Bombyx mori: one gene and its partners. The protein of the gene in region 3 purifies or fractionates together with the protein of the main gene of each other region. This does not show direct contact. Links are inferred from orthologs where the notes say so. Each region holds a gene or a part of one and is shown on either strand. Other genes may lie near its edges.

What was found.
Region 1: the proteins of uncharacterized protein LOC100286771 (region 3) and kelch-like ECH-associated protein 1B purify together in Homo sapiens (affinity purification with mass spectrometry; 3 studies listed by BioGRID and IntAct, with this or other methods). This does not show direct contact. The link is inferred for Bombyx mori from reciprocal best matches to the Homo sapiens genes MCMBP and KEAP1.
Region 2: the proteins of uncharacterized protein LOC100286771 (region 3) and DNA replication licensing factor Mcm2 purify together in Homo sapiens (co-immunoprecipitation; 6 studies listed by BioGRID and IntAct, with this or other methods). This does not show direct contact. The link is inferred for Bombyx mori from reciprocal best matches to the Homo sapiens genes MCMBP and MCM2.

What each region holds. Positions count from the first base shown.
Region 1 is NC_085128.1:13,280,815-13,285,079, forward strand, and holds the start of kelch-like ECH-associated protein 1B, read right to left. Parts: upstream 2,801-4,265; 5' UTR 2,641-2,800; coding exon 2,580-2,640; intron 1,275-2,579; coding exon 1,111-1,274; intron 1-1,110. UniProt on the Homo sapiens protein: Substrate-specific adapter of a BCR (BTB-CUL3-RBX1) E3 ubiquitin ligase complex that regulates the response to oxidative stress by targeting NFE2L2/NRF2 for ubiquitination.
Region 2 is NC_085113.1:10,833,252-10,837,328, reverse strand, and holds the start of DNA replication licensing factor Mcm2, read right to left. Parts: upstream 2,801-4,077; 5' UTR 2,647-2,800; coding exon 2,644-2,646; intron 1,381-2,643; coding exon 1,214-1,380; intron 684-1,213; coding exon 517-683; intron 1-516. Other genes in the region: mitochondria-associated granulocyte macrophage CSF signaling molecule, read left to right, coding at 3,374-3,757. UniProt on the Homo sapiens protein: Acts as a component of the MCM2-7 complex (MCM complex) which is the replicative helicase essential for 'once per cell cycle' DNA replication initiation and elongation in eukaryotic cells.
Region 3 is NC_085117.1:15,219,711-15,223,721, forward strand, and holds the start of uncharacterized protein LOC100286771, read left to right. Parts: upstream 1-1,198; 5' UTR 1,199-1,555; coding exon 1,556-1,663; intron 1,664-1,735; coding exon 1,736-1,918; intron 1,919-2,841; coding exon 2,842-3,198; intron 3,199-3,297; coding exon 3,298-3,544; intron 3,545-4,011. UniProt on the Homo sapiens protein: Associated component of the MCM complex that acts as a regulator of DNA replication.

The DNA of each region.
Region 1 (4,265 bases), on a different chromosome or scaffold from region 3:
CTATTGCCACTCGTCAGGATATTGAAACGAAGCCGAAGAAGAAATAAGCCATAAAATAATTGTATTGTTATCGGGTCTTGATGCGTGTAAAATTTTTATTTATTAATCAGACGTGTTGACGACATTGAAAGATTCCGTTACATACAAAGGAATGTACACATACATATCAAGCTAATAAAAGCGTGATAGAAATTAGATAAATCGCATCAAACACTAAACAGTGGAAAATTATCAGTTATAAATCCTGTGATGCACCGTAGAAGCGAGAGTCGTAGAGTACTTTTTTTTTATTGGCCTTGTAGCAGACGCGCATACGGCCTACCTTATGGTGAGTGGTTAACATCTACTGGTTACTACTGGTTATAGAACCTCTTTTGAGTCCGTACGGGTAGGTACCACCATACTGCCTATTTCTACCGTGAAGCAGTAATGCGTTTTTGTTTGAAGGGTGAGTCAGCCGTTGTAGCTGTGCTGACACCTTGAACTCATATCTCAAGGTAGGTGACGGCATTTACGTTGTAGAAGTCGTCGTGGCCTAAAGGATAAGACGCCCGGTGCATTCGTATCGAGCGATGCACCGGTGTTCGAATCTCGCAGGCGGGTACCGCCGCTAGTTGTGGGTATAACGACGAAAGGAAAGATCTTGCACCGAGCGGGTGAGATTGCCCGGTAGACCGATGGTCTGAATGTTGTAGTTCGGAACTTGTATTTGAGGCCGTCAGCGCAAAAGTGGCCTAACCCACAATTTTTTATATTCAAGCTTATATATATATACATATACATATATTGGAATTTATTTAAAATTTAATAAATTTTGATGCAAAACCGGCCTATCCATAGTTTCACCCATAGATAATAGATAGCTTTGTAAACATCATTTTTACGCGTATGGTCTTTTTGTCTACTCAAATTTAAATTCATGAAAATTCAAACCTAGTTGCCTCCATACTAACTATAGTAAGCTTAGGCCACTTTCGCGCTGACGGCCTCATTTATGCAAGCTTGAAAATGTCGCAAGCGAGATTCAGGCAGATATCTTGAGTTATATGATGGCTACCGCCACATACTATTTCCTTTAGGTTCACAGTTCAGAAAATGTTTATAACTTACCTTCATGAACTCACTGATGTAATTTCCCATGCAGAATGTCATATCGCCGATCTCGTTGGACCCACTCCCGGCGGAATCCTCGAAGTTGCTGTCACAACTAATCGGAGGCAGGTCATCCAGCATGTTGGTCCGTCGCGAGTCTTCGTCAGTTTCCATTATTGTACCTGCGACAATAAAACCGTTTATTTACAGCATTACGATGCATTTTCGTTTGACGTAAATTAGCCGCTGTTTCCAAGGAATTTTTGATAAACGTCAAGTCCGTTGACATCATAATCAGATGCTACCTTGAAACACCGGGTCGAACCGGATAAACATTTTTGTTTTTTTTTTTGTAAAAAAAAACACAGGAAATACTATCGCCGTGCCTTGTTATAAATAAATAACTACTTTATAAACATTTTGGTAGCCTAAGGAAATATTCCAGCAACACTATGTAGGTAGTTGGTGAGTTTACTGGGTTCAAGTTCAGCAAGTGTGCTAACACTGGCTCTAGCAAGAACAGTGCTTCGCAGAATTACCACCGGATCGGAATCGCGAATCATTGAGAAGATCCTACTAGATACTCAGTGGGTTATTATTACATGCAATGTATGTAAATTCGATGAATAACGTTAAAAATGGATACATTACAATTTACAACAATTTAATATCGTCTTAGTAATCCTAGCAACTCCAGTAGATCATAAATTATCAAACGGTACCTTTCTTTAAACTGTTACCTATATGATGTCGCGATAAACCCCATTTTGGTAGCCACAAATTCATTATTACTAAAAGTTTTGCTGTTTTATGTTTTATTTGTGATGTTTCGGTAGAGTGAACTGTTGTAATTTACCACTTGAGTACATTTTAAAATTGGCGGTGTTATTTTAATGAACAAAAAAATTTGCGTGTAATTAGTATTTAAGACGTGAACCGTACTATCTGTCTTACTATGGAACTATAAAACTATGGAGAAAATCTGTTATTCGGCTTCAATAAAAACGAATTCCACATGATCATGAGTGCTCTGCAAAGAACAACCGACTATGATGATGATGACAGTCTTACGCTTATTACTTTTTAGTTTAAGAATGACATATTTTTTAAGTACCGATGTAGCTCACGTTATTTACATTTTATTTAAAAGCACAAAATAGGCTTCACAAAATAATGGTAAAACTAACACTTAGTTCGTCTCAAACAAAGATAACAAAATTATTTCATGTTTAATTTTACTTTTACTAATTCTACGTTTAAACTTTTGTTTCATTAGGGATTTTTTAACAAAAATAAACATTAAGTTTATAACTTTTTCTGCAATTGAAAGATTATATATTCTGTCTGTTTCACTTCACAATTGTACATGAGCAGAGTATCAATTGAAGAGCGTCAGAGGTTATTAAATCTTAAATTCGCTAGATTGAGATCGATAAAGATATAAAACACAACCGCTTTGTAGCTTTCAATTTATTTACTTCTCGTACCATTTTTAATACTGCAATTCCCACATCGGCCAGTACAAATTGTAACGGCATCAACCTTCATCACTGTAATTTTACAAGCACTTCACTAGATCACAATTTTATCGACTTTATACACTGCATATCACAGTATTCCATTTGTTTATCTAGAACAACCGACGCAGTCGACTACGGGTAGATATCTCTCACCGACTGTCGACGCTTACCTGATTTGGCTTCGACGTGTTCGTCCCGTGGATCTTATCAAGCGACGTCACTGTTATCACACCGAATCACAAGTACCCAGTACAATATGACGTATTAACGACTAGGAGTGGGTAATATCGGTTTTGCCGCGTATCGAATCGTATCTATATATCGAGGATCAATATCGGATATTGAATCTATATATTTTCTGAATCTATATATTGATGGAATACCCCAGAACAACTTGGCGTCGCTCGGTGGAGCAGGAGCTAGGGGTCTTGGGCATGACGTGGGAGGAGCTAGAACAGACTGCCCAAGACCGATACAAATGGAAAAATTTGATTCGAGCCCTACACCCCAGCAGAGGGTAATAGGAAAGCATGATGATGCTGATGATGATATATTGATGTATGCTAGTAGATTTTCTCGATTCATGATATTTGAGATTTGAAACGATACGCTGATATAATATCGTAGTAGATATAGATTTAAGTCAACGTTATACGGTTGGTTTTCTGATATCAATTTATAATATGATCTTAAAGTAATAAAAATAACATGAAAATAAAAATATCAAAAAAACTTTCCTTCATGCTTTTACCAGGCTTAGGACTGGCTACATTATTTTCAGTTTTTAGTATTTTGTGTCTTAATTTAAAATTACAAAATATACCAAAAGAGTGTAGATTTCAAAAGTTTAATACAAACACAAGAAATAAACTCAATTATTTGGATTCAACTAAAAATAGAAAAATGTGTACTTTAAAAATCAAACACAAAAAACTTTTAAGTATTTATAAACACTTGTCCAAAAATTCTAGTTCAAGGTCAAAGCGCGTGAAATTAAATTCAACGATGCAAATAGGCTATACTGCATTCAAGTTAGGGTCGAAAGTTGAAACTTCTTTCCTTAATTGTATCCTGCTGATACGCTAAGAATAATCTACAGACATATGGACTTAAATATAAGGTTTACAATTGTATGGATAATGCCTGTTTCTGTTTCATTCATCACATGATATCGTGCGCTCACTCACTCTGGCCGATTCGATACGAACCAAACGAATATTGCTGATATTAACGAATCGGTACGATATGCCGATGCGCATCACATCGAGCAATATCGTGTATCGGCTGATATCGAAATATAGATTTCGATTCACGAATCGGTCCGATATGGCGATGCGCATCACATCGAGCAATATCGTGTATCGGCTGATATCGATATATAGATTTTGTGCGGGGCGATATCGGATTCAACGATATTGCTGCGATATATAGATATTGAATCTATATACGATTTATATCACCCACTCCTATTAACGACGGTACGCTTACTCGCATTTCAAATTTGAGCCGCGGTTAGTACGCTAGACTCTACGCGATGCACGTATCAAATTCAGAGAATACACTTTTTTTTCGTATCAACCTTCTTAGCGTGCCATTTATGGTATTTATATGAACTAAACTAATTTAATTATGGCATTATTTTTCCGGTTTAAT
Region 2 (4,077 bases), on a different chromosome or scaffold from region 3:
AGGGTGCATGGTAACAATAGTAATCAAAATTTTATGAACAGATATAACTAGAAGGGTTATTTTGATAATATTCCGAACAGCGCTTTTTTTTTTTACAATAAAATCTTTTTTTCTTACACTACCTATTTATAATTCAAATTTATTAATTTTTATTTTTTATTCTTAGTTGGATTTTGTATAAAAGCGTATTTTTTTGTTTTTTTTTTAACTATTATTTATTTATTCTGATTCTGAATGTACTTGTTCTTGTCTCGTACCCCTTTGTAGTTTTGTGTTTTGTTATCAAGTAACTCCCACCCAACAAACAAGAGTCCAAACCACACCAAAAGACATCTGGGCACAACCAAAATCACAGACTCTATAATACTGGATTTTCGCGAAATCAAAAAGGACCACCATTAGAAAAGAAATTGAATTGAATTATCAAATAATTTTGAATCGATTTTTTTTTATTGACTGGACAATTAATGCAATTGGATCTTTTAATATTGAGTCATTATGCTATGATAATCTCACCGTACAACAGATCACGATCATCACGTCTTATTCTTCCTTCATCTCTATCTCTTCTTCGGAGCTCCTGTTCAACTGCCACACGGTCTCGAATGGACATTGCATCGTATTCATCATCATCAAGGTCTTCATTATCATAGCGATCCAGCGCGGGCATAGGACGATAATCACTGGAATAAAAAAATACGAATTTTTAGTCTTCAAAAACAATAATGGATATATTAATAAAATTATTCTCATAAGTGTTGTGTTGGCAGTATTTGATATTTGAAAATAATTTACTGTTTGATTGCTGGTTCTTAATAGTTGAATTTGAATACAATTTATACAGTCTTGAAGTCTGCACCGCAGTCTGACTCCTGGAATACTTATATCATCTAAAGGTGAGTGGCTACATCCACATAGTGATATCCATAACCACTTAACACCAGGTGGGTCATGAACTGGCTCATCTGTCTAAATAATGAATAAAATTAATTGTAATTTATATGGTGTTAGATTTTTTCAAGAAATTGCTGTTTTTATACTTTTTGTGATAATCACAATGAATTGTAATCTTGCTTTGAAAGAGTAAACATTTTTGAAACACAAGGCTATAAAATGATATGTTAAAAAACGTCTCTTTGAATAAATTTCAATTGTGAATTATCTATGGATGCATAATGTTATGGTGTACAAAGTTAAGTTACAAAATACATACGCTTCCATATTATCATTGAAAAGTTCCTCTCCATCTTCTTCTTCCTCAAGAGGATTATCACCGAGTATAGCCCCCTCATCTTCAAACATTTCATATTCTCTTGCTGGTGATGTCATTCGTGATTGAGCTCCTTCGCGGTCTGAAGGTGTGTCTGGGATTGGAGAACTCTGGAACATAAATATTCATTCAAATGTTGAACATGGCTATTACAGGACTGTACTCCTAAAAAACACAATTGTACTGTATTGTTAAACTGGGTATTTAAATACCATTCATACAAGTCATCAATGCAATTAAGAGTCACGGCCCACCAGATGTTCAGTGGTTACTGGAGCCCATGGTAAAGTAAGATTACCTACCTGTCAGGGCTTACAATACGAAAGATATTAGAAATTGTTACATTTAATGAACATACCTATCCAATTTAGATTTATCGTAAATGAAATACTGTATGAACTCAGCACTTTATAATCATTTCTAACTAGCGGCCCGCTCCGGCTCAGCTCGGGTCTTTAACCAAAAATTCAACAGTATTTGAAGTTGTTTTATTTTTTTAAATAAAAGAACACTTATTACGGCATAACTATAATAGTTAGACATATGCTATCGCGACGCTTTTTGTAAATAATAATGTGTTCTACAAAGTCGTAGTACATTATTTTATTCTATCATCAATAGTTTTCGCAGGGCACGCGATGTAAAGAATATTTTAGGTAATTTTTTACACCTTCGGTTACATTATTAGAGTTTTAGTAAGGATCCCAAATTTTTTTCAAAAAAAGATTATGCCTATGTCACTCGGGAATAGTCTAGCTTCCAAACAGTGAAAAAATTTTTCAAATCGGTTCAGTAGTTTCGGAGCTTATTCAATACAGACAAACAAACAAATATTTCCTCTTTATAATGTATAGAAGTATAGATAATTGTAGGACAGAACAGTTCAATTTGTGAAAGAAATTGTTTTTTTAATATATATGGGTAACGAAATCACAGCGTTTAAAATTTGCAAGGTTTGAAATAAATTAATTTGGGTTTTATTAAACATGTTGGAGTTTGTATATAAATGTAATGGCAGGCAACACTTGACACATGATTACAGATTTCGAATATTAGAATTATTTTAAATGTTTAAAAAAAACAGATGATTGTATTCTCGTAAGAAAATGTCAATACTTCTCATCTAGACACGGCAAGAGAAACATGTAATAGTTTTATAAAAAAAATATAAAGTAAATAAGTTTATAATGCTGTAAAAGTGTTCAAGCTATCTGCAATATAATTATAATGAAGCAGTTGTGTTTTTAAATAGCCCCTCATCACCTACAGAACCCAATCCCCTCAAATTTAACCGTCCAACAAAACATAAAGACACGAGTTCGTAGTTTGTAAACAAATGGAGAATTGTTTTATTTATTTATTCAAATACTTACCATTTTGTTTAAAGTAAGCAATTAAACGATCACACAATCACAAACAATAGTTTAAACAAATTAATTAAAGACTATAAACTAATAAAATGTACAAAACAAATAAGGCGGTTACAGTTACAAAAAAACGTAGGTTATGTTTATGAACCTTTTTTTTTATAAATTTTACTGACTTGGAAACAAAGTCTTTTAAGCCAGTTTATGAAGCTTAAGGCGTTAATCTTATTTTATATGTATCTTCATATATTCTCTAACTTTCCTAATCTCTCCCATGCGAATCAGTTAAAAATTTTTTGATTACTTAGTTTCCCAAGCGTTTATTTTGCTTTGTGGCAAATACGCAAGCCGAGCGAGCCAAAATCAAACAGAAGAAGAAGAAGAAGCTTAAGGCGGAGGACCATATATTTCTTAACAGTTTGGTCAATTTTGACAATTATTTAAAATATGATTTAATTTTGTATTTTAAAAATATGCTGTAACTATGTCTCTGCACATTAAATAAAAAAAATGGCTTTAATTTTATTCAGCAATGAATCTTTTTTCAGCGTACAAATAAGGGAAAAAAATCAACAATCTTAAAGCTTATGGACTACATTCCCTTTGTCATTTGGAGAAGAACATTGAAAAAAGCGTTTTCACTGTATTTCCGTCAGTCACTATTGACGGTTAATCTATTTATTTTGTGGTTATTTCGTAATGACAAAAACTTGTATAAGACGGTTGATAATGAAACATGGCTAAATACATAGCTCAGATAATAGTTTTGGGCGCTCAGGTTGTAGGTCGAGCATTCGCACGCGCCTTGAAACAAGAAATAGCTGCATCCCAAGAGGCAGCGAAGAGGGCTGGCGGTGGACCCGAAGGAGCGCGGAGAGCTGCTGCCAATGCTTCCACAGGGTTGACTTTAGAAGAAGCAATGCAAATATTAAATATAGAAAAAGTAGACCCCGAGAAAATTAGTAAAAATTATGAACACCTTTTCGCCGTAAACGACAAATCGAAAGGAGGTTCGTTTTATTTGCAATCGAAAATCGTAAGAGCGAAGGAGAGATTAGATGCGGAACTAAAACAAACATCACCCAACTCCGAGCAGGGCCCGTCTAAAGACACTTCATGAGACTCGGCTGTGATTTAGTGTGTAGTGATTAAAATTAGTAAATTGATTTTCCTGTAAAATATGTTTATTGAGTACAAACGCCCACAATAGTGACTAGAATACATCAGTCTTCATAAACATTGATTATGCTTTAATACAAAATTTCATTGATATTATATTGCTGTAGAAAGTTTAATACAATCAGTTACATTACTTGCTAAAGCATTGTTACTTTTATTGTTTTAATAATCAATAAATTATTGCTAAGCACAACTTTTTATAATTTTATATTGTACATTAAACTACCTGACACATTTTTTTTGCATTTTCAGTAGCCAATA
Region 3 (4,011 bases):
AGGTTATTCTCCTCCAATCTGCTTTTGCCACATCCAACCAGCATTTCTTGGGCCTACCGCGGGATCTTGAACCTGGTACATAGAAGTTGAGGTATCTATTTCCGACGTAGTCTGGGGTCCTATGGTTTATATGGCCGTACTATCGTAGATGAATTTCGTGCAGCTCATCTGCTACGTTATGAACTCCAACGCTGCCGTTGATGTAGTCGTTAGGAATGTGATCTAGTCGTGTAACGCCACACATCAACCGCAGCAGCTTCATTACAGTAACGTGCAGTTTCGAAACATGTCTTACGAAGGCCGGCCATGATTCGCTGCCATAGAATAGGACTGGTCGAATGATGTACTTGTACACGAAGCCTTTTAGCTTTACCGGAACCCTGCGGTTGCACAGGACGCTCGTTACTCGAACTCGTGAAACACAAACTCTAAGTACTTGAATTTACTTGTCTTTACGACAAGTTCGTCATCTATCTTTATCGTTCCGTCGGTTCCGTCGTCTAGTTAGTCTAGTAGTACACTGAACAAAAAAGTACTCAGAGCCGAGCCTTGGTGTATACCCACAGAGATTGGGAATGGGCTAGTATTTTAGCATTGAGAGCTAGAGTTTGTGAGAACGTTAAAGTATTGTAGCACTGTTTTTAATTAAATTAAAATAATCAAAGATCTACATTTACTGTCTACCTGTACCGAGAGTCTTCCAATACTTATCAAGTATCTATGGTATATAGGCTGTATGGGCTTAGATCCCCTTGCCTTTCCAAATAAGGAAAATTTGTACAAAAAAAAATATCTAAGGTATTATCTATGGAGAGTAGGTATTATTTATGGAGTTTTATGACCTGGTAACTAAGATCTTTAAGTCAAGTAAATGAAAATGATTAATTTGGGAGATTAATCAACTGGAATGAAATTAAATGAAACGAGATGATATGGGATGAAATATAATCTCAGTAAAATAGTGGTCATTTACTGAGATTTTTTCAGCGGACTTTTTGGAGGATCCCGAGAAGTTACGTCCAGCGGCTTTATTTCATTTTCCCACCCTTGTGCACTTTTGCAGATATTAAACAGTTAATAAACCACCGTTATTCCACATTTAAACCTGAAGAAACACTAAATATACAAAATAAAACAAATCACACAACTTCACTCCTAGCGTTCCCGCCAAAACGTCGAGTAGGTATTTTACCAAGTCATAGATAATAAATAAACCAAGTGATTCTCTGTAAAAAATTTGCATAATTTCAAAATTTTCACTTTCATTATCGTACCGTACCGTACATTAAATAACAAAGTTATTACAATATCTAAGTAATACATACATGTTCAATATCGTACAACTCAAAACCCTTAACATAGATTTTTCACTAATTAATAAAATTCAGTATGTTTCAAAGAGTAAAGTAAAGTTAACAAAAACCACAAAAAAAGAAGTGCAATACGGTGCGGTATCATTGATGAGACTGAACTTTAATAAATTCTGATTCAGTTTATTGTATAACAACCAAAACATAACACACGATAATAGTATTAATGAATAAATTTTCTAATCATGCATGAAAATATCATGAGCGATATCGAAACAACGACGCCGGATCGATGGATTGAGAATGAAAAAATAATGAAGAGCAAGTTGATGAAATTACCAAATTGGTACCAGGTACGGAATTTATCATAAAACAGAAATCATTTTTGTAAAATTTATTAACTTGTCCTTTATTTGACCTTACAGATCCCACTAATTAATTCAAATGCTTCACATAATTTAACAGACGGAAACTTAGTGCGGTTCAGAGGCATGATCCAAGACATGCACAACCCTGAATTTTACTTTGAGAAATTTGAAGTATTTAACACAACAACAAATGAAGTAAAGGTTAAAAGTGGAAAATACAGAGATACTGCACATGTTTTGGTAAGGACCGAACATTAAGAAGTCTGCAAAAAAATATACACCGCGAATATTCCCTGTCATTGTTTCCGAAAATCCGAATACTTGGATACAGGAAGAAAGAGAATGAAACCACAAAAATTGTTAATTATAATGATTTTTTTAAATTTACTACTGAAATGCTGCCCATTCAAATTAACTTTTTCACTTGTTGAATATGTACGGTCAAAGTCACAACTTTCTCCTAGAGCAAGAGCCTCTTCGCAACAGACATATGCATGATAGACTATCACCATGAATTATTGGCATCTCTAAAGCTAGTTTCAGGATCAGTTAAAATAATCAATTTAATTATTTAAATATCTACCACTAATTCCAAAATAAGCCACACTTCTCAGAGGAACTGATGAAACAAGATAGTTGCTGATTGACAATACAATGTCAGGAGCTTACACCTCATTCCCATTTAGTGCTAAAAAGTATTATTAACTTTTAACTAACTATTAACTAAGTTATTAAGTTTGTAATATTTCTAATATTAACTTCCTGGAAGAACTGAGATAGTGCTTGTAAGATCCTTTTTATGTAAAGCATTAAAAATAAAACCAAAATGGAAGAATTACTAAGATCAAAGCTGTTCATGCAACCATATGCTTAATATACCTAAATGCTTAAGATATAGCTAAGTGTGCGTATAAAAAATATTAAAAATAAACGTTGACTAAAATCACTATATAAATTGTGTGCATGTACTTTTAAACAAAAATATAACATGTTGATATTTCTGTTAATGTTTGACAAACATTATGTTATGATATGAAATGAAATCTATTAATTGGGCTTCATGTGCATTTACAAGAAAATCTTCCTTTCCCCTCTTATAAAGGGCAGAATTTATTTACAACATTCATTATTATAGTAAATTAAATCAATATAAAATGTTTCAGGAAAATGAGAAAATTAACTATTCTGAGAACCTAATCAGTGGTCAGCGACAGACTTTAGTTGTTGTGTCTATACCTGGGTTAAATGACTGGGTCCAACAACTAGAAGATAAACAAAACTATTTGAAACATTTAGAAGAACCACCAAATACTTCCAAAAGGCTTCACCCAAGTACAAAGTTAAAAAGAAGCTACGATGATACAGAAGATAATTTGGATGAAATGGAAGTTGATAATGAAGCTGTGAATAAGGAAATGAAGATTTTAGATCACAAAGATAATACACCTGATGTGGTTTCAAGAGAACATTTGTTAAATTATCCTCTACCTGATGTACCTAGCAAATCTTGCATTGTTAAGGTATAAGAAAATCCAATAATATTGTTTCCATCCACATAGCAGTAGTAGTTAATAAATGAAAAGCTTTGGTTATGAAACTAAATAATAAATTGTTTTCAGATTTACAGTGACAATGAAAATCTCAAGCTCAATGACATGATAGAAGTCATTGGATTTCTTTCTGTAGATCCATCCCTATCAGGCGAATTCAAGGAAGATAAGGATTCTATGATAGAGCTCCAGATTGAGAGTAGTGTCGAAATTATAACTCATAATCCTCCACCAAGCTTAGTACCACGATTGCATGCTGTTCATGTACAAAAATTGGAACATTGCAATCCATTACTTTCAAATAGTGTTGATCAAGGTATCTAGCTAATTGAATTGCATATTTTTTTTGCTCGTACAAAATCACTGTCTACTTTGTGTTAAGTGGTTACTGGAGCTCATGGACTACAATGTGATTGCTAACACTCAGCCTTATTTGTATTTTGTTGTAGCTGTCACACCCTTCAACCTTGATGTCATTACTACTTTTTGGTAGACAATAATCAAAATGGTTATCACCATCCATATCAATGCAGTCTTGAAAAACCTAGTAATCTACCATTAGTACTAATAAAATTTATCTAAAGTTTAGAATATGAATGGAAGTATCCGACCAGCCATAGTATCTATCACACCCAAAAAGTAAAAACTCATAGCCATAAATCGACTGCTCCTACATACAAAGGGTCATGTCAAAAATGATGGCTTACAGGAGAGCGTTTTAAAGTTTCAATCTCATGTGTAATTGACTTAACATAAAAGTGACTTCTATCTTTCAGTATTGAT